Alligator mississippiensis: one gene and its partner. The protein of the gene in region 1 interacts with the protein of each later gene in a biochemical or structural test. Links are inferred from orthologs where the notes say so. Each region holds a gene or a part of one and is shown on either strand. Other genes may lie near its edges.

Region 1 (7,283 bases):
AATGGACTTAAATGGACAAATTTGTGAAGGAAGCTTGCCAAGCAAATTTTGTACATCCAGAAGGGTGAAAATATGTCCCCATTCCCCTTTCCCTGAGATTACAGGGTTGATTGTGGAGGGGTGATAACTGCTTTCTTCTCATGCTAGTATCTGATTTCAACATAAGCACAAACCTCCAGGTTCCTCTTCTACTATCACGAGATGCACACTCATCTAATAAGCACCTGAGCTATTACTATCATGTCAACTGAAAGTACCTTCTGGATTCTATCCCTCAGGGCTGAAGGAGCATTTATGTCTCTTTAACAGCCTGTTATGCCTCTTCCTTTTAGAACACATCTGTGTATTTCTCAGTTATAATGTTCTCTGTCAGTTTGATTGTACAGGGAACAATTTATGTCTCAGTTACAAATTGTGGCTTAATTCCAGAGGCGGAGCAGGTGTTCTGTCCCCAGCAATTACGGCAAAGGTGTTCTGACTTCTCTATTGCTGTGTCAGTGTGCGACAATATGCCAATGCTGGAACAGGGAGTCCTGGACATGTGTTTATAACATTAGTGGAGGTCTTTGGCAGGTTGCACCAGTTGTGAAGCTAAATTTGATGTCCGCACCTATTTTCAAGCATGGATGACGTGCATGGCATTAAGTGTAATGGCTAGGTTTGGCCCATGAGTAACACCTGGTATGTGAGCATCCTCCCCAAGGCCAACATGTGATTACTTGATGGCATTTATAAGTTCTCTGTGACTGCACGGCTGCCCAAAACAATCCCTCTTGAAGCTGACTGCACTTTTGGCCAAATACTGGAACATCTCTATACTGATGTGCTAGTTGACAGCTTTCATGCATCTGTCAGGGTTCCACAAGTCTTCCAGGACTTGGTGCTCTTTCTTTGCATGACTTAATTTCCTCACATGCTTTCCAACTGTGTTTTTCCTTCAGAGTCTACTTCAGGAGAAGCTCGCATAGTTTCCTAACTGCCCTCTGTTCTTAAGCCTGCACTTGCCATTTTGCCCATTTGAGTACTATACAGATTTGTATAGCTTTTTCTTACAATCTAGTTACAATCTTGGAGCAAAGGCTTGTAATCTTGGAGCAAAGGCTTGTAACGGTTCCCAACTGGGCAGCTCACTACCAGCCTATCTTTAATCAAGGATTCTTATACAGCTAAAACCATAAGACTGACATTTTAGCCTTAAGTTTGTAGGCTACTTAGTTTCTAGACTAAGGAAGGAACCTTTCCTGGTTTTATTCTTTCTAGGTACATAGTGATCTTTCAACTGTCCTGCCAAAATCTGTTCTGTTGATGGATGAGAGCTTGAAGGCTGGTGCTACAGCTAATAATGCCACTTTGCTGGTACAGCTCACTTGGTCCGCACGCTCTGCAGTCATGTACAGAAAGAATGTGTTCTTGAAATGTTTCCAGACCCTCTTCCACATTACCTCAAACCTTCCTTCTCGTGGTGGTTTCAAGCCACCCATCCCTGTTGGCCGAGTCTGTGCAATTCAAGTATCTGGGATCACAGTGAAAATGTTTCTCAATTGCTCTCAAATCCATCCGCTCAATGCAGCATGTGTTGTTGCTCTTGTTAAGGCACAGAGCTTGTGTTTAACAACTGTATGAGTTTTGCTCAAACATTATGTAATTCAGCAACAAGAGCCCACTACAGGCTCCAGCCAGCTACAGTCTGCTCTGCCCCCTGCTGTTCTGAACCCTGCCCTCCCTCCTGAAGGATGCCCTTTGCTCTGTGGCCACAGCCCATGTCAACAGCCACAGCTGTTCTACACCACAGTTGTGGGTTTGCAGAGTGAAAAAATAGAGCAGGTGGAGTAAGTATTTGTAAGTATTTGCTCAAAGCCTGTTTCAAGTGGTTTCCCTGCATGCTTGAGGAACAGAGTGCAAAAATCTTACTCAGATTTGCAGAGTGCCTTGCAGATTTGCTGGGGTCCTAGCTATCAGCAGTTTCCCTACAGGAAAGGGAGAAGTGAGATTCCCCACCCCCTTGTGCCTTCTTGAGCAAGGATTTAACTACCACCTCTTCAGCTAGGTGCCTTGATTTAGGGGCCCTCTGCAGAAGCCTTAATATTCTTGGATCATTTAGAACAGGACTGGCTAACCCATGGCACAAGTGCTACACATGACAGAAGGAGCCTCTGTGTGTGGCCTGCAGCAGATCAGTGAAGGGACAGGGAACACAGAGACAGATAGGGCAAAGAGCAGAAAAGCAAAGCAACAGTTTGGGCAAGGGAAGGGGACTTAAGTGGCACTCAGGGTGCGAGGCTTAATGTGTGGCACTCCTGCCCCAAAGATTGGCCCCCACTGATTCAGAAGGAACTAAGTAAGCTAGTTTTTTTCATTCCCCCATGGCAGCTCTTCATGGTCTCATGTCCCTAAGGGCCCTGTGGATTTCTTCAACAGTTTGTGCCCCAGAATACCTGGCCTTTGGGGAGAGGGTCTGGGGTAACATTTCTCATCCCATAGGTCGCAACCCAAAAATGGGTTGCAACAATATACGACAGGGTTGTGAACAAACTTTAAAAATGGATTCTCTTTTCAAGGAGAATATGTGGGAAACCGTGGCTTTTGCCTTGCAGGTTGGCAGCGTTACAGCCTGAAAGGGGCTGCTTGGGGCCCCCTATGTCTCCCCCCCCCCCCCCACACACACACACACACCCTGCCCCACACACTTGGGGGCTGGGAGCAGGGGGCAGTGAGTTGGGAGTGAGGGGCACTGGGTCAGGACTGGCCATTGATGTTTATAAATGGGTATTGCTACAAAAAAGGTTGAGAACCACTGGTCTAGAGGGCTTCTCTCCATAGCCCTGCACTCAGGGAGGGAGGAAATAAATAGCAGCAGCTTCGGGCAGCAGACAGATCATTTTCATCATAAAAATCAGGTTTCTCCTGAGATGCGTGTTGGGAAATGTTCATTCCTGGGTATTGAACACCTTGTGGATGCCCCCTAATGGCTGCCAGGGAAATGGCAGCCTGGCGCACAGTCTGTTTATTCCATGATCTGTCCCATTAGACATCTGTTCTTGACACAGAGGGACTGCAGCAGTTAGGACATTTCCTACATCCACCCCTCATTCAATTGTCCTCCACCCCATGCAACCTGGCTCACAACAATAGCCCAGCACCATAGCCCAGATCTTTCTCCACCGCTACCCTTCGTTGTCCCTCTCACCACACAACGTCCCCCACCCCCCAGTCTTTCCATTCCAGTTACTATTGCTCATAGCCTGCTTCCCTGTTTGTTCCCTCCTCTGTCCCCATGGACCCCTGTGGCTCTCTGATGTTGCTAAAACCTCATAAGATCATGACCAGCCGCACTCACCTGCACCACAAGTAACCCACTCCCTGTCCCTGGAGTGACAGCCACCCTTCCCCCATCCCCCTCCCTCCTTTCCTACATGGCCCTACTGCTCCATCATCTAACAAATGTGCCCTTCACCTGCTCATCCTGCAGATGGGAATTCCCCTCTGCCCACCAGAGACCACTTTGAACTACTCATGTCCTTATAGGCACCTTGTCACACGATGGGCTGAGCAGCCTGATAAAGTGAAGGGGACTCAGGACAGAGCAGGGTTAAACGCTATGGTCTCGATACCTCTTCCCCCTGCCTTCCCCCTGGCTGCAGCACCATACAGGACCCTGGTACCCTGCAGCTGAAAGCACCGGTCCAGGTGTAGGATGTCTGAACACAAACAACATTAGCAATTGTAAGAAGGGAAAGCAGGGGCCCAGCTGGCAGTATCCCAAAGCCTTAGCTGCAGACACTCAGCACAGAGAACCAAAGCAAACCCTTTAGAGATAGCTTATCTTGGGACTCTAATGTTTAATTTCCGCCACCTTTCCCCCTGTTCTCCCCAGACACCTACTTAGTGGTGACTTCAGAGCCCTCCACCTCCTCTGCTGGGGGCTGAACGGGAAGAGGTGAACAGGCTGGGAATAGGTCCAAGAGTCACTTCTGGGGCTTGCAGCCCCCAGGTGGCACTGGCCACGCGATATATGGACTGGCCATTATGGTATGGGGATGGAGCGAGTGCTCTGGCAGGCTCAGCCTTCCCCCTTCCTCTCACTGAAGGCTCTCTTGGCAGCTTCCCCACTCTTTTGGCAGAGACGTACCAGAACTGGAGAGAGCAGCAAGAGAGAAAAATTAAAAAGGGAAAAAAAAGCTCAATCGCCTGGAGAGGCTTATGTGTTTGCCCTTTTATAATGACGTAGTGTCCTGTGCCTCTCTCCCCCCCTTCTCTCACTCTCTTTCCCCTCCCTCCTTCCAACCCCCACCCCTTTTCCCCTCACATCCTTGGAAGCAACAATTAAGCAGCTCTGGGATAAAACACACTGGCTGTGAGAGGACTGGGGCATTGCTTCAAGAGATGGCAAGGCAGCTAGCTGCATCCCTCTTTCCCGGAGTCCTCCTCCTCCTCTCCATCCTCCAGGCTTCTTGGCAAGGAGGTAAGAAAAGAAAGGGTTGCTTCTCCCTCACCTGAATGGGCAGCTCAACAGCAAGCCTGGCATAGCCCTTCAGGGACTCCTCTGGGCACCTGGGCTACAGTACTGCCAGGGGCTGTAATGGGGCATCCAGAAAAGTTGCCTCTTTAGCTTGCTGTCCAGGTTGCTTGCTTGAGGCTGTCTTCCACTGCCCCCCCCGGAACAACTCATCCCATCTACAGCCCCAGGAGCTAAGCTCACCCAGTGGGGAGGAATGAAGAAGTCTGTCCCAGTCCCAGCTGGGGCAGAAAAGCTCCCTGCTACCCATGCACAAGGGAGATGTGATCAGGGAAAGTCTTGGGCAGATCAAGCATTGGTCCCAAACCCAAGGGTCACTGGCCAGAAATCTTCCCTGCTCCCTGCTTCTGGGGATGGCACTGGGGTCTGGCTTACCTAGGTATGAGGCACTTATTGAGGGAAACTTTAGAGGTCATATGGCTTCTTCCCTAGCACACAGGCAGACATGTTCCCAGCCCCAGACAGGGAGTTCAGGGGACCAGGGGTCTGTCTGGTTCCCAGCATGATGGGCCCGGACCCAGACAGCTTGTGTGTGTGACTGGGACAAGGAGAGTGCATCAGTTAACTTATGTCTGCAATTGGGACATAACTGGTGTGTTTCATGCTTAGTGTCTGACATCCTTTGTGTGTTGCTCTCAGTGTGTTTGTGTGGCATGGTCTATATATATCCCTTTATCAGTGTCAATATACATATGACAGAAGCTGTGTGTATCACTTTTAGTGTGTGTGTGCTTGTGCGTGTTTGGTATAGCCCATGTGTGCATTACTCTGTGTGTGTGACAGCCCTGGTGTATCACTCTCATCTCACAGTGTGTGACTATGACAGTGAATGCATCAGCCACAATATGTGTTAGTGTTTCTGTGTGAGATGTAACCCATGTAAGAGATCACATTCTTGTAGCTCACACTGCCAAAGCCTGACACAACACATGTGGATCACTGTGAGAGACAAGGATAAAACTTGTGTGTATTACTTGTTGTACATATGACACAACTTGTAAGCAGCACTGTCAGTGTATGATAGACATAGCCCACTTGTATTCAACCTGATGTATATGTATGTGTGTGCATGTGCTCATGTGTGCGATAGAGATGACCCTTTGTGTAACTTGGGTGTGTGTGTGATTCTGTGTGTGTATATCTCTCCAAGGTATGTATGTATGATTGACAGTGCTCCTTTGATGCGGATATGAAAGACACAGCCCATATGTAGCGCTGTGTGTAACACTTGCTCTGCCAATGTGTGTGTATGCATGCTGGAGAAGTAGATACATCCTGCGTGTGTCACTGTCAGTGATAGTGTGTGAGAGCATGAGACAGCCATAGTTTGTCTGTAGGGAGAGCCTGTGTGTAGCACTTTTACCATTTGTAGGTATGTAATACAAAACATTTGTATTACTGTGTGTATGACATAGAGGGTATCATTGTGCGTGTATGTGTAATGTAACTGTGAGAGAGGCAAATTCCACATTATCCTGGTTGTGCTCAGATCCCTAAAATCAATGCCAGAAGAGAGGATGAAACTGCAGAATGTCCCTCTCGATGCTCATTGCAGGGAGCCTGGGGACAGGGCACTGGGAGGGCTGTGTGAAGGGGGAGAGGGCACAGATAGGGTGGAGGAACTAACCTGAGACTTGGGCATCTGTGGCTCAACTGTTTGCTCTGCCACAGACTGACTGTGTGATCTTAGGCAAGTCATTTAGCCACTGTGCCTCAACACCATGGGGATATAGTCCTGTCTAACCTCTCAGTGGACTTGTGAGGATAAATGAAGACTTTGAAGACTGTGGTGTGCTCCAATACCACATTTATGGGAGTCACAAAAGTACCTCAGTAGGTAGATGCATTAAGTTTATAGGTAGAAGGGACCGTCCACTTATATAGTATAACCTTACACAAAGCCCAGGACACAGAACATCTTGCTCAAATACTTCTCTATTACGGACTGCCTAGGAGAGGGGGAGGGGATCTCTGGCAGGGCTGCATGAATGGGGTGGGCTGTGGGAAAGACAGGAGGTGGCACTGGCAGGTTGAGTGAGCATGGAGAGAGGGGACACTTGCAGGGCAGTATGAGGCTTGGGAGCACTGGCAAGACTAAGTATAGGAGAAGTAGCCATTGTCTGAGTGGTTCTTCCTCCCAACCCAAAGAAAACCCCTTCAGGTCCATTCTCAGCAGCCAGAAACTCCTTGTGCCAGTGCTGGGGAATGCCTGGCTTCCTCTTGATCCTGTGCCTTCCTGGGATGCCAGCGACAGCTAGTTGTGATCTGGGGAGAGTGCAGGATAAACCCATGGCTAGCAGGTCCAGGCCAGTTAGTCCCCTGAACAGCTGCAGACAGGGTCCAAAGCAAAAATCAGGGCAGTAGACTGTGTAGGGAAAGAGGATCAGAGTGGTACTTGGGGAAGGTACAGGGCTGACTTGTGGTATGCCTGCCAAAAAGGTTTACCCGTGCTTTGCCCTCGTTTGCCCATGCTCCAGTGTGCTGGCTTTGCACCAGGTTTCTTGCCGAACTGTCATTCTCTCAAGGACCTGTAACCTAGTGTCTCCTCACAGCAGCCCAGGGCCAGGCTTTGAGCCTTTGACTGGACCTGATATCTTTTTATTCACTCCCTGTGGGCATGCTGCTCTTGGACCTGGCTTTCTGGGGTGAATACTGGCAGTCTACTAGTTCAGAGCTTGTTCTTTTGAGTCTACTAAGTGGCTGCTCCCTTGTCAGGACCCTCATGCTTGCCAGCTGCAACAATCCCAGGAAGCAGCCAGCTCTGGGG
Region 2 (7,005 bases), on another chromosome or scaffold:
CCGAGGAGGCACATAGGTGGAGTAAATGTTAATATGTATGAACCAAGGTGTATAAAATGTGAAAAGAACTAATGTTCAGTGCAGCTCCCCGGTTTGTTGTTTTCTTGGGAGCTAGTCTGAAGCTGTTTCCATTCTGAATAAAGCTGTTGCGAGCGGTGTGTGCTGGTGTTTCCTCCCTGCTTGCTCTGGCTAATGAGTAACAGGATCCATGAGCAATTGAATCATCATCTCCCTAGTTGTTGGGCACTGCATGGAGTTGGGATCTAACAGTGACATGGGTGCTTGTGGGACTGTCTGTCTTGGGGAACAGCAGGGTGAAAACTGCAAGCCTGCTAGGCCCTGCTGCAGCCATGAAGCCTGCCAGCTGTTGAGGAGATAGGTGCAGGGGGAGTCTGGGTTCTGGGGCCCTGCACCTCTAGCTGCTGACAGGAAAAACTTGTGACATGGGTGGGTGACACTGTGTGTGTGTTAAAGTGCACCCTCACTCAACTGACACCAAGACAGAAAGCAGGGCAGTTCGAACAGTGCTACCTTTTATGCAGTTTTTCCATCCCTCCCCCCCCCCCCGAGCACTGGGATTGGAAGGGACCTCAGGAAAGGATGACAGTCACTGGCCAGCTACAGTCAATAATGAGAGCAGTCCTCCCCCCTCCCTCTCTTTCCCCTCCCTCTCCTTACTTTAGTTTCTGTTTCCCTGTGGGCAAACCCAGTTTGAGCTTCAAAACTCAAAACGTTTCTAAAATTTTGAAACATTTTGATTTGCCTTGTTTTGTTTCGAGGCTGTTTCGAAGCTCTCTATTTTGTTTTGATTTTGCTGTTTCAAGCTCAAAACAAGTTGAAACAGCATTGAAACGAAACTGCCAGTGAACTTTTGCACAGCCCTATTGAATACCTATTTGTTCACTAGATTTCAGAACATTTTCCCACAATTAAATTAGGGGGCTGAAGGAACTGGATGGCTAGGAGATATATAATGGTACATACAGTCTTTTGCCTCTTGCTCAGGGTCAGTGGTATATTTTTTAGTGGTATCGGCAAAAGAAACTACTGATTTTAGTCGTTTCTAAAGCATAGTTGGTAATGTTTGCAGAGTGGACAGGGAGTGAATTGAATGTGGAGACCCAACTAGAAGCAGAGGACTTTAGTTTCTTGGATTGTCGCCAGGGCCTTTTATGACTCACAAGCTTGAAATTCACTGAAAATTCAAAATTGTACTTTGGAAAAAATGATAAACAATATAACAGACTGATAAATTGGTAGGGCAATCCTGTCCTATGCTTTGTTCAGCTTTATGAAAAAAACAGTTACTTAATCAGGCAAAGCATATAATGCTGTGGCCAGAATCCCAGTGTGGAAACATTTTCTAATATCACACATTAGGAGACAACCTGCTATTCGTAACACTAATAAGATTTACAGGAAGATTACAAAGACAGAGACCTCATTTTCTTCAGTGTTGTATTTTCCTTCTTCTCTAGACTTTCCATTTTCTTCAGTCTTAGTCAGTGATTGTTCCAGTCAAGATCCAAGATGAATGATAAAATTAAGAAACCACAATGCAAAAGGCTTAGGGGACTGAATTAAACTGTCTGAATATTTGAAGAAAAACCCTCCATAAAATAAATGAGAGAGCAGTTAGCTAACAGGACCTTAACTGCTACATCTAAGGAGAGTGAACAGTTACCTACTGTGCTTTCTCAGAAGGCTCAGCTTGGCAAAACCTACCATGTTAGTATAGTGCTTATCATCTCAGGACCACTCAGGCAGTTGGAACTCTCAAGGTAAAAATATCTGTTAGGTAGGAAGTGGTTGTGGTATGGGATTTAAAGCTGGAAAATTTCCAAGTGAATAAAAAAATCCCACTTATTATTATTACACCAAGTATAAATGGATAGTTTTTGCCACCATTCTACTTAAAAATGGCATACAGAACTGAAGATGACCACCCACTCCAAGTCCAGTTTCCTGCAATTGCAAGTGAACACGTAATGAAATGTTAGTCCAGAAAAAAACAAAAAACAAACCAGAGCCATAACTACCAGTTTCAGCATCTTGGGCAGAAAACAGTGTGTGTGTGTGTGTGTGTGTGTGTGTGTGTGTGTGTGTGTGCCAAGTACCAGAGAGTAGACTGAGAGTGGCAGGATGTGGACAGGGTTTGCACTGAGCACTGGAGACTGGAGAGTCGGGGTTGCAGAGTGCTGATACCCCCGCTAAATTGGTGCCCAGGGCTGGTGCCCTGTTTGCCCAGCCCTAGATTATGTTACTGAAAACAGCAATCACTTCTGCTCCCATCTATGCACCATGGCCACAAAAGAGCCCAAAACAATCCAAACCAAGTCGTCTGTAACAAAGAACTGCACGGTGCCAGAGGAAGAGACCAGGGCTAGGAACAGATGTATGTTTGTCTCAGGATCAATTCTGCCTGTGTTTATTCCAAAACAGGAAAGTCTCAGGATTAGCATGTACCCATATCGTCCTTCCAATAGGGGTTCAGAGAGTGGCTGAATACACTGCCCTTTTCTGCCATTGATTCAACAATGCAATCCCAGCATTCAGAGATGTCCCAGGACAAACTGGTAGTAGCATTCCTTATCCTGTGGACTTTTTTAAGGTTTGCCCTGGGATAAGACATGGACTCCCCCCCCCCCCCCGCACCACACTAATTAAACATATTCATTACAAGCAGTGTTCGAATTATGTAGGAGCTGGGGGTGGGAGGGCTAAGCATAAAAGATGAAAATCCTCCTGTAAGCATGGGCGACTGGTGCTGCCTGAGTCGGGGGGGCACTTGTCCCCACAGTGGCCAGTCAGCGACTGGGGTGGGGCTCCCAAACGGCCCATTGTGCCAACGGGGGAGGGGATCTGTCACAGCCAATCGCACCAACCAGGGGGGTCCCCCCTGCTGGTTGCACCTGCCGACCCAAAGTGCCAGTAGTGCACCCAGAAAGGCCAGGGATGTCCATCGACTCCAGTGCTGGGGGGGAGGGGGGCACCATTGCTCCTGCCTGCCCCCCTGCCCATTGCCTAAGTGGGGAGCGCTGGCCATCAGAGGGTGCACCAGCGCTCTCAGGGGATGCACATGCACCCCCGTGCATCCCCTATGTGTGTCCACTGCAAGATTTGAAAATCATAAAGGGGGGGGGTGTCTCCGATTTTAGTAAGGCATTGTGATGGGCAGCCCATTTTTTTTTTTTGCAGACCTCCGCCCAAGAGTCAAAGGGGGGACTCGAAGTCCGCAAAGGAGGCATTTTTTTTACACGTGGGCAGCGACAGAAGGCAGCACATCTCTTTGGAAACAGCCTTGCCAGGCACTCCAGACACCTGAGCCGGGAAGGGCTGGAAGGGTCCAGAGAATGACTGGAATCCATTGCGCTGAGAGGAGAAATTCCAGCCTGCCACAGACTGGGGAGTGACAAGTCAGACGGAAAAATCCTCAGGACCCCGCTAGGGGTGAGGGAGCTCCTCTCAGTCCCCATTCCTTTGCACAGACTCACCGGGAACCGCCTCACAACAACAACGTCGCCCCCTCACCCATTTCCTGCCAAAGGCTGCAGCGCTGAGGAGCCCCCTGCCTCGGGGGGGGACGGGAAACCGCCTGGCAGGCTGGAGCAAAACAGGGGGGATTGAAAAAGAAAGGGAGAGAGATGGCAGAGACTAAGAGGGAGATTTTGATGAGGAGCTGTCCCCTCTCCTCATGCCTGAGGACAGCGGGTGAGGGGCGGCTGCGGGGCTCCCGGGCACTTGCCGAGGGGGCGCGCAGGCAGCCCTTCCCAGAAACACGTCCCCCCCGCGCTTTCCCAGAGCCCTCTGATGAGCTCATAGCATTTTTCCTTTGCATATCTTGGCGCGGGCCGCGGCCCGTCTCAGCGCGCCCCTCGCCCAGCCCAGTGCGTGTGCACGCGTGTGTATGAGCGCGGGACAGGACAGGACAGGACAGGACAGGGCAGGGCGCGCCGCGCCGCGCCGCGCCGCGCCGCGCTCCTCCCCTCCCCTCCCCTCCCCTCCCCGCCCGCCCGCGAGGGGCAGCCCGGAGGCAGCGACCGCGCCGCACGTCCCCGCTCGCGTTACGTGAGAGCCGCCGCGCTTGTGTAACCGGGCAAAGCCGCCAGAAAGTTTAAAATCCCTCGTCCTGCCGCCGCCCGCCCGCACTCCCGGCGCCGCCCCACGGACGATGCGCGGCGGCTGAGCCGGCCGGCCCGCCCGCCACCGCGCCGCTGAGCAGGAGAGATGCGCCCCGCGCCGGCCGCCGCCGTCGCCCTGCTGGCGCAGCTGCACGTGTGCCTCTACCTAGGCTGCGCGGGACAGCCCCGCCGCGCCCCGCCGCCGCCCGCCGCCTGGAGGCAGCGCATCCAGTGGGAGAACAACGGGCAGGTGTTCAGCCTGCTCAGCCTGGGCGCGCGCTACCAGCCAGCCCGGCGCGGCGCGGCCCCCGCCGCCGCCGCCAGCCCCGTGCTGCTGCTGCGGAACAACCGCACGGCCCCGCGGGCGGCCGCCGCCGCCGCCCCGGCCGCCACGCCGCCCTCCGCCCGACACTGGTTCCAGGCCGGCTACCAGGGGGGCCCGCGGGCCGGCGGCACCAACCGCACGGCCGGCCGCGCCCCGGCCCCGGCCCCGGCCCCGGCGCCCACCCCGGCCCGCGCCCCCAGCGCCCCGCGGCCCGGCCGGGAGGACATCATGGTGGGCGACGACCCCTACAACCCCTACAAGTACACGGACGACAACCCCTACTACAACTACTACGACACGTACGAGAGGCCGCGCCAGGGCAGCAGCTACAGACCCGGCTACGGCACCGGCTACTTCCAGTATGGTAAGAGCCCGCTCCGCGCCCCGCTGGCAGGCAGGCAGGCAGGGGGCGAGCCCGCTTGTCCCGGCGCTGCAACCCTGGGCGGGCCCGGCGTAGGGAAAGCGCTCTGTGTCGGATCGGGGACAGCTTGTGGCCCCGTCCGTGTAAAAAGCAACAGCGGACAAAACACTCGCGCGAGGGGTGAGAGCTTTTATCACACCGCCTTCTCTCTTGTTGACAAAAACAGCGTCCGGATCTCGATCGTTGTGCGCTTTGGTGTTTTTGTCTATTCCGAGATTTTACCAGGGATCAGTACGTGGACCTGGCTCTCCTGATCCCCGTTAGACCAACTACATAGTAGCAGACAACAGTAGCTTTCTTGGCAGGCTCTTGGGTCCAAACACTCTTCTTTAGGCAGAAGAGAGCTCAAAGATTGTAAAAGTGCACCCAGGGAGAAACAACAAAGTTCTTCAGGGGAATCTGATATTTTTTTTATAAGAGCAACTTAGAAAAGACAAGGTACTTTAGGTGAATCTGACATCTTCTATAAGACCAGCTTAATTAGCTGGAAACATTTTTCTTAGCAAGCTTTCGGGTTTTAAAAACCCTTCATTTTAAATTTTCCCCTCCCCAACTATTTTAATTGGTCTAATAAAAGATGTCAGATTCACCCAAAGAACCTTGTCTGCCTGTGTTCTTAGACCAACATGGCTACAACCTACACCCAGAAAGAAAATAAACTTCATTGTGTGCAAGGGAGGTAAAGGACAGTGTGGTTCCCCTGGGTTTCAAAACATGTTGTTTTTTGAGGCAGCTCACTTATGGAGCCTATACGGGACCCAAGTCATTCTCAAGGGAGTTGTAACTGACTTTTGGGTTTGCTGGCAGCACTTTCTTACGACTGCTTGCCTCAAAATCAAAAAATGCTTTGGCTTTGACCCAGTTCTTACTCACTAGCTACAGTGAGCAAAATGAAGTAAATAAGATGATGGCTGATTTGCATACTTATTTGCATATTTTTTCAGTATGGGTTACTCTTTTAGCAAATGTGATCATTTTGAGCTTCCAATACAATAATTTCATATTTAAGACCTGGCAACGCTGGCAAGAGGTGATCTGTGCCTACGTCACAATGGGCAGGAGTCCTCCATGCAATAATAGGGGCACAGTGGGCATGGCTGGTGCTGCAACTCCCTTCAGTTCTGGGTGGGGGGGGAATGGGTTAAGACTGAGACCAAATCAGATGAGATCCAGTTACCCTGGAACAGGTTACCAAGAGAGGTGGTGGCATCTGCATCCCTAGAGGTTTTTAAGACCTGACTAGACAAAGCTGTAGTGGGATGATTTAGCTGGGGATGGTCCTGCGCGGAGCAAGGGTTGGCCTAGAATGATGGCCTCCCGAAGTCTCTTCCAAGCCTAATTTTCCAACCCCCATCACAGCTTAGCTCAAACATGACCTCCCCCTACATCACGCTTGGGAGCGCAGCTCCCTGTTTGCAGACGTGTCCTGGGTTGATCCTTGCCATTGTGTGGTTGGTTTGATGCACTGCAGGTCTCCCTGACTTAGTCCCGGATCCCTATTACATCCAGGCGTCCACGTACGTGCAGAGGATGTCCATGTACAACTTGAGGTGCGCTGCTGAGGAGAACTGCCTGGCCAGGTAGGCAGTTATGGCTATGTTTTTCCTTGCTCCCCCGGGAGTGGTGCTTTTGCAGCTCCCAGCCACAGAAGGAGAGCAGGCCCTCTCTCTAGCTTGACTGGCATCTCTAACCTTGGTGAGAGGCAGACAAGGAAGATCTACAGCACAAGATTTTATAAAGTTACAAGTGCTTTCGGATGTCTTCATACTAGGGAGCCCAGCTCCCTTTAGGGGTCTTGCCAAGGCCTGCTTTTCAGAAGGGGGAGAGAAGAGCTTGCTAAAAAACAGGCTTCTTAAAGGAGCATACCTGAACTGCCCCCCAAAATGACTCATCACTGGTGAAAATACTTGTCTAGGGTTTTTATTGGAATCTGTTCCCTTTCAGCTCTCCTCCTGCTCCTCCCCAATCTTAATAACCGACGATCCTGTTGCATTTCTTTTAGAAATGCTGCTTTGTAATCAATGTAAGCAATTCAAAATTATATGGTGCAACCCCTGTAAGGTTTAAACCCATTTAAAAAATGGTTGCAACAACTCAAACTTGAAACAAAACCGTTGCTATCAAGTTTATCCCAGTCC

What was found.
Region 2: the proteins of ELN (region 1) and LOX form a complex in vitro, tested with the Homo sapiens proteins (2 studies listed by BioGRID and IntAct). The link is inferred for Alligator mississippiensis from reciprocal best matches to the Homo sapiens genes ELN and LOX.

The regions. Positions count from the first base shown.
Region 1 is NC_081837.1:27,776,858-27,784,140, reverse strand, and holds the start of ELN (elastin), read left to right. Parts: upstream 1-4,260; 5' UTR 4,261-4,383; coding exon 4,384-4,462; intron 4,463-7,283. UniProt on the Homo sapiens protein: Major structural protein of tissues such as aorta and nuchal ligament, which must expand rapidly and recover completely.
Region 2 is NC_081826.1:220,066,188-220,073,192, forward strand, and holds the start of LOX (protein-lysine 6-oxidase), read left to right. Parts: upstream 1-3,996; 5' UTR 3,997-4,227; coding exon 4,228-4,810; intron 4,811-6,338; coding exon 6,339-6,447; intron 6,448-7,005. UniProt on the Homo sapiens protein: Responsible for the post-translational oxidative deamination of peptidyl lysine residues in precursors to fibrous collagen and elastin. Regulator of Ras expression. May play a role in tumor suppression. Plays a role in the aortic wall architecture.